2 linked regions of the Drosophila melanogaster genome follow. The protein of the gene in region 2 purifies or fractionates together with the protein of the main gene of each other region. This does not show direct contact. Each region holds a gene or a part of one and is shown on either strand. Other genes may lie near its edges.

Region 1 (3,751 bases), on a different chromosome or scaffold from region 2:
GTCTCTGTTCGCGGATAGCTGATGTAGCCCTGCGTGTACAGGCGCTCAGCTATCTGCATCGCCTGGAAGGGTCCGATGCCCAGTCCGGAGCTGCAGATACGCATCAGTTCGACGGTGTTCAGTGCCTGTGGTTTGCTCTTGTAGGCCTCCTTGCTGGCCACGCTCTCCACACTGAAAAAAGAAAAGAGAGGAAGTGGTCACTAGATGGAAAGGGAAAAGATAGTCAATTCTTGGTGAGCTTTCTTAAATTCTGGGGATCAGCAGCATTTTGTTTGTTTGCATTCGTTATGAACACAAACAGAAATTATGCTAATTCGGCATGATTGCTTCTCTGGCAGATACATAGATGATGTAGGCACCAGATTTGGAAGGAATGGCGTAATGGGTGGAAAAAAAAGAGTCAGCTGTCTTTCGAGTGACCAAAAAGTGGTTATAAGCAAACGGAAAAGTGACGAAAGCATGCTTATTTATAGACTAGCCGTAGTGACAGCAGCCATGATTAGGTCTTACGTGGCCTTCTTGTGCTCCTTGACGCGATTCAGCAGCATGATGGCGATGTCCTTCTTGAAGACCCGACCGCGCGCCCATTCAAGCGTGACTTCCGGCTGGCCGGCGAGGAGCTGCAGATGCCAGAAGCTCTCCGGCTTAAAGGTCTGGATGTCGTCGTGCCGCTTCACGCAGAAACCGAGCGTGGGCGTCTGGCAGGGACCGTAGGAGATCAGCGACGAATCCAGGTCACCGTAGCGATCCTGAAAGAACTTCGTTTGAAAGCGGGTAAAGGCGCAGCCAATGCGCAGGTCCAATTCCTGCCGGGCGTCCACCGACTTGGCCTCGTTCTCGTTGGGATGCCCCAACGTCTCCATGGCTTTCTTGATGTCCTTCTCCGTGATAGCCGAGAAGTGGGCACGGTATGTCACCTGATCGCTGTACACATTGTTGATGACATGCTTCACGGCGTCCATCACCTCGAAGCAGATGTTCTCGCCCTCCTTGTCGCAATCCAGCCAGAGCACCAGATAGTCACAGCCGCGCGCCTCGTGGGCCAGAAATTTGCGCATGTTCTGCTTGGGATTCGTTTCCTTCTTTTCGGTGGCACAACCGAAGAGCTGGATGGGATCCACCTTGTCCCAGCAGTTGTACTTCTTATTGAAGTCCAGCGACATGACATGACCGCACACGGAAGTCATCCGGAAGTGGACGCTGCCCTCGTTCCGAAAGTTGCCCGTCCACTCGTGCGTGGAGCAGCCGTTGCCGGTGCCTGGAGAGGATTACATACAATTTCGGTTGCTTGCTGAGTTTGGGAGTTCGTGTTGATCTACTGGCACTTACCACGCTTGGCCGTGCAGCGTCCGTTTGAGAGAATCCCCGCCAGCGAGGCCGCCAGCGAGGGCTTCTCGGCCACCATCAGCACGCTCTTCATGGCCCAAATCCAAGTCCCGCAATCCAATGGCCTATATAATTGATGATGAGATTTTTGCAGCGCTTCCTCCTGCCCACTCGTTCACTCGCATGGGATTCGCCGGTTTCGTGCTGCACACACACTCACACAAACGCACACGCACAGCATAAACGCACACGAACACGGGCTAATGGATGAATTGGACTTCCTCGCTATACATCCGTATAATCCCCTCTATTTAACAAATTTCACGGGCATTATTTTCCAGCCAATAATACGGTCTCACTGCCGTTGGCAGCAACAGGGTCACACTACATTCTAACGAATGCATCAATTGGTCATACCGCAGCGTGCAGCCCTGGTGAGCAGATCTTATCGCTCGTCGATACCAGTAGTCAGTAGTTGTGCAAACCTATCGGTGGCTATCGAATCGAGTCGCAAGAATGTGCACAACAATTTCGTTCGCGGAACCCGAAATCGTGCTCGGCCATGGCCGCAGGGTGCTCTTCGTGAACCCCGACGACCTGCAGATATTCAAGGAGATCGAGCTGCCGCCCGACCTTGGCCTGAAAGGCCATACATCCCAGTCGCAGGAATCGTGTACAGCCGCAGCAGCCGCATCCACAGCCACAGCCGCATCCGGTCAGGCACCGGGTGGCAAGGAGCAACAGCTTGCCAATCAGCCAGAGGAGGGCGGAACCTCTGCCAGCGCCTCCGGTTTGGGATGTGCCACCAGCACATCGGTACAGAATGTGGCCTACTCGCCAGACGGACAGCTGCTGGCCGTGACCACCAGTGGAAAACAGAAAGCTCTCCTGCTCTATCGTTCACGGCCGGAGAACGCCCGCCTGCTCTCCGCCCGCCCACTGGCCCGGGCGTCCAGTGCCCTGCGCTTCTGCAGCGACAGCAGCTCCATTCTGGTCACAGACAAGACTGGCGATTGCTATCAGTACGACTGCGTTGAGGTGGAGGCTCCGCCGCGCCTGCTGTTGGGCCATTTAAGTGTGGTATACGACATCCTGTGGTCGGAGGACCAGCAGCATATCATCACCTGCGATCGGGATGATAAGATACGCGTGACCAACTATCCCGCCACCTTTGACATCCACAGCTATTGCCTGGGCCACAGGGAGTTTGTCTCAGGCCTGGCACTGCTCACGGAGCAGCATATCGCCTCCGCTTCGGGGGACAAGACCTTGCGCGTATGGAACTACATTCAGGGCAAAGAGCTGCTGCAGCACGAGCTACCAGCACCGGCGGTTCGTTTATTGGTACGCCAGCTGGAGCCGGAGAAGGTCTTCCAGGCGGCGGTGCTCTTCTACGAGCACGTGGACGCCCTGGGATTGTATCGCCTGGAGCGCAGCTCCGATGACACCTGGAGCGTGACGGCCACACAACTGGTTTGCGCCGAAGCGGGCTCATGGAGCATTAGCAACTTTACTTTAACCAGCGACCGGATCTACATCACCGGCGCAGAGAACGAACGCTTAAGCTTGCGCGTCTACGACATCGCAACTGGCCAGCCGGCGAGCAGCGGCGTGCCCGAGGGCTGGCTGAAGATGGTGCTAGACGGATTGGGTGCCAACGAGGAGGGCGCACCGCCATTCATTCCCGAGGACTTGTCCGTTTGGTTTAAGAAGCGCTTCGACAACGTTAGCGACTATTTGGAGCGCAAGAAGCGGCGCATCGAGGAGCAGCAGCAGCAGAAGTGCGGCTAATCCCCGGGCGCCCACATACCCAAAGGAAATTAAATGAACCTAATCTTTACATAGCATTTAATTAGCATATGGAGAAGAAGCAACGGACTTTGTGTGACAGGCCCGTTGTGGGCATAATATATATATATCTGTATATGTGTGTAAATGGTGTATGGTTATCTCTATGGGGGGCGGTGGCGAGCACTGGCTCCTAGACGGGCTTGTAGTCCAGCTTGCTCTCCAACTTCTTGTTGTCCGACACCTTGCGCACCGCCTTCATGAAGTCCTCCTGGATGACGTACTCCCGCTCCGCACTGGATTTGCAAGAATAGTTACATTTTAGGGAGCTTATCAAGCGGTGGAAACTTCGCACTTACCGAATGGCAAAGAGACCCGCCTCCGTGCAGACATTACGCAGATCAGCGCCATTAAAGTTGTCCGACAGCTTGACAATGGCCTCGTAGTCGATTTCGCCGTGCTTGGCGATCTTCAGTGCGTGAATCTTGAGAATTTCCAACCTAAAAGGAGTTGGGGTTTTACCATCAGTATGACAAAGTATGTAAGTATCTAATCTGAGAAATCCCTATTCATATTTCACCAAGAAGACATCAAAGATAAGAGCCAATCAATGTGGGAATATAGCTTACCTAGCCTG
Region 2 (3,751 bases):
AACCATTTGCCCATATATTCGGGTGCCGCTTTACAAAAGTGCGTTGTCCCGGGCATACGAAACTTGTTTTTCTGTTTTCGTAAGGTTTTTCAACTGCGCCGCAGTTTTCTTTTGAGCGGATGGGACGAGCCCCCTTCGAAATTGGACAAACACGCCCAAAAACACACACACACTATCGCAGTCAATTATGAAAGATCCCCATTGACTTCCTAGCGACCTACAAACGCAAACAAGCTTATCAATAAAATTCAATTCAATGCGTTTTATATTGAGCCTCGCAGCATCTTTCGCGCTCTCCCACTCCCACTCGCTCTCTTTCTCACTCCCACTCACAGAGTCACTGAACTGCCCAGTGTGGTTGCTTTTGCACTCAGCTGTTTTGCGAACGCAAGTGTGAGTGTGTTCGTGTGTGTGCATTCTGCACGAAGAGGGGAGAGCAGTAGAGAAAACACCAGAGGGGTGCAGAAAATATTCACAGGGGTTTTCCCAAGCAGAAAACATTGTGCAAAGGCCAAGTTCAGACGCGGAGTGTGAAAAGAAACAAGAAACTTAACAAATTAAGATTTATGCAAAGCAAAATAAAAAATTTATTTTTGTTTCGCCTTGGAGAATCGCTATCATATAGTTGGCAGATCTTAATGATTCCGAAAGCTTCCCTCTCTAGACCCACCCATGTAAGCAAGTGGGAAGAGACTTACCCAATGGCAAATCGCAGAGGAGACAGCAGGCGGCCAGGGAACCGGCCGAAGCGCCTCCGATCTTCTCCAGCAACAGATGCGGTGCATACTTCTTGAAGCAGACGGCCACTCCGACGTGGTAGATGCCCAGGAATCCGCAGCCAGCGAATGATAGATTCATGCTTTGGACTCGGCGTTAGATTCTATAAATCGTTCGATGACTGTTTGTTGTTGTTGCTACTGCGTCACTGGTTTTTTCTCTCTTTAAGGTATTTTCTCGCACTTTCTTCGCGGATTTTAGTCGTTGCAGCTCCTTTGATGTAACAATTTCTTGTCGCGTTTCGAAATAAATCTCGTTTGGGTTTTCAATCACTGTTTGTCGGTCGGCTGGAAAAATTACTCCGCTCTCGAAATGAAAAGTTGTTGCTCGCGAACCGTTATTTACTCGCTCTGCGGATGGCAGCCCCCTTTTATACATTCATTGCGGCGCGGTGTGACCGCATTTTATTCGCTTTACCACCTAAACTAGAACTGTCATTAGAGTGGCTGTGCGTATAGGGTACTCTTTTGTTTGTTCTAAACATGTAGATATTACGACTTTAAATCGATTTATAATGCCAATTCTTTATAACTGATAAAATTTAATTATCGATATATAAGTACATCTATCAAAAATATATATGCTAGTATATGTGTTGCACCCAATTTTGACATTATCTCTTGGGACATAATATATATATTATATTTAATTTGAATAAGTGTGCAAGAAATATTAAAATTTTTAGATTTTAAGAAAGCATTTAATATTACTAAACAACCTAAACTTAAACGATAATAGTATGCACCGTCAGCCGATAGTTGCCGCCAAGCACATCACTAGCGAGTACACACATCTAATACTTTTGTCATCCCTAGTCCGGAGTTGCAAAAAAATCGTCTTCATGAAAAAATGGAATTAGGCAAGAAACTACGAGAAGTCGGGTGGTAAGTACAATTTTAAATTGTGGCATACAATGCTTCTTAACGATTTACGCAGGTACCTGACAGAGGAGGGCCTTAAAATCGTGACAACAGCCGTCGGCAGCGAGGATGTCCGGAAAATAGTCAATGATGCACTGAATGTGAGTTGTAGGCGAACCGGCTGCTCAGCATTCTGTGTAATTATTAATTATAACCTATTACTCACACTTTGCAGCGAGATCTGCGCGATATTGGCGGTGGCGCACTGCCCGCGAAACGCGAAGATGCCACTTTGCCCGGTAAAATTGTGCTGCAGGTTCAGCGTGTGCGAAATATTGCCGCTCCCAAGGCGAATGAGGAATCGAAGGCGGCGCCACGCCTCCTTCAGTTGGATCTGAGTGATGGGCAGAATTCCATAAAGGCCTTGGAGCTGGAGCCAGTTCCCCAACTGAATCTCAATGTGGCTCCCGGAAGCAAGATCTATTTCAAGGCCGAGAAACTGCAGCTTATGCAGGGATTCCTGCTGCTAAAGTCCAGTGAAATTCAGCTGCTCGGCGGCCGTGTGGATGCACTCTACGAGAAATGGGATCTGGCCAGGACCATGATGAGATATGCGCGCAGTGGGCGCCCCTTGAATGGGACATCAGCGCCACCCCCGTGGGTGGCATTTGGCCGAAAAATCGATAGCAACGCCGAAAGCGAAATGAACTTTAAGAGCCTGGGCGAGGGCGACAAGGACAAGCCGGCAAAGGAGAACGAAGAGTTCAATGCCATGCGCACAGAGGCCATTGCCGTGGCCACCAAGGCCGGCGGCAAGAAGATCTTTGGCGGCGGTGGCCAGAACATTATCGATCACAATGTTAAGAAGATCCTAGACAAGGGCTTCAGCGAGGAGGAGGCCCGCAGTGCCTTATCTGCTACCCGAAACAACTTGGAGCGCGCCCTATACAATCTAAAAAGACGCAGTGAAGCTGGCGGTGTGGGTCCGATCGAATCCGTGGGTCGTCCGGGACGCGGAGATCGTCCGCCCAGAGAGGGAAAGCGTGGAGCTAGCGCCAAGGACGAAGTTGAAGCACCCAAGCCGGCTGCCAACACCACGCTGTTTGATTTCCTAACCAATAAACTGCCCGCCAAGGAAACACCGGCCGCTAGTAATGCAGAAACCTTCGCTGCCGCTCCAACTGCCGCTCCGACTGCCCCACCCACTACCAATCACTTCAATCCATTTAAGCAATATGGAAGCTCGCGCTTCAGCGATTCCGAGAGCAAACCTTCAGCTATGGGCGGAGGCGGCAAGTTTGCAGATCGTTCTAGGTTTGAGAACAACGTATCGAGCAGCTTTGCCGCACATCGTGGTGGACATGTGGGTTCGTCGCGAGGCGGTGGCCGTAACCGGGGTGGCGGCAGGGACGAAAGGCCACCAAGAGAGGAGCGAGCCTACAGGGAAGACAGGCCTCCGAGGGAAGAAAAACCGCCGAAAGAGGAGAGACCACCGCGAGAGCGAGGAGCGTTCAATGATCGTGCAGCTGGACGTTACAAACCAGAAACGCCAACCGTAAAAACCGCAAATCGCAATGGCTCGGATAACGTATCGTTGAAACCGAATTCCGAGATTAAGCCAGATCATGAAACAACCAATGGGAAGGACCACACTGGCAACCGACGTGGCAGCGAACGAGGCAGCAATCGTGGAGGCTCCAATCGAGCAGAGAACGGCAACGCCAATGGCAACAGACGAAACAAGCCGGCAGCAAGCTTAACTTCGGCGAGTTCTGCAGCGAAATCGACAAATAGTGCTGGCGATGATTTCAACGCCCGTTTGAGTAAGATAACCGAGGAAACAGCTAATCTCAAGGTGAGCAGTGCGCCAAAGCGAGAGAATCGACGTAAGCAAGGAGGACAAGCCAATCGCCTGGCGGGATCGGGCACAGAAACAACGCAGCAGCAGCAGCCAGCACAGTTGCATTCGCAGAAGCCAGAGAAGGCTCAAACCAACCAAAAGCATCACAATCCCAGGCACAATTCGCAGGCGAACTACAGTCAATTGGCGAATGGCTACACTTACGATCCCAGCAAGATCATGGGTTTCCAGAGCAAGGAGGCCAACGAGTTTG

Evidence for each region. Proteins that work in one complex are often made in the same cells at the same time.
Region 1: the proteins of Tdrd3 (region 2) and Top3beta purify together in Drosophila melanogaster (affinity purification with western blotting; 3 studies listed by BioGRID, with this or other methods). This does not show direct contact.

What each region holds. Positions count from the first base shown.
Region 1 is NC_004354.4:6,286,312-6,290,062, forward strand, and holds the start of Top3beta (topoisomerase 3beta), read right to left. Parts: upstream 1,680-3,751; 5' UTR 1,421-1,679; coding exon 1,330-1,420; intron 1,259-1,329; coding exon 511-1,258; intron 172-510; coding exon 1-171. Other genes in the region: wuho, read left to right, coding at 1,843-3,117; Rpt4 (regulatory particle triple-A ATPase 4), read right to left, coding at 3,308-3,410, 3,474-3,614, 3,744-3,751. UniProt on the Drosophila melanogaster protein: Releases the supercoiling and torsional tension of DNA introduced during the DNA replication and transcription by transiently cleaving and rejoining one strand of the DNA duplex.
Region 2 is NT_037436.4:14,785,221-14,788,971, forward strand, and holds the start of Tdrd3 (tudor domain containing 3), read left to right. Parts: upstream 1-1,570; 5' UTR 1,571-1,626; coding exon 1,627-1,661; intron 1,662-1,713; coding exon 1,714-1,798; intron 1,799-1,872; coding exon 1,873-3,751. Other genes in the region: bmm (brummer), read right to left, coding at 699-858.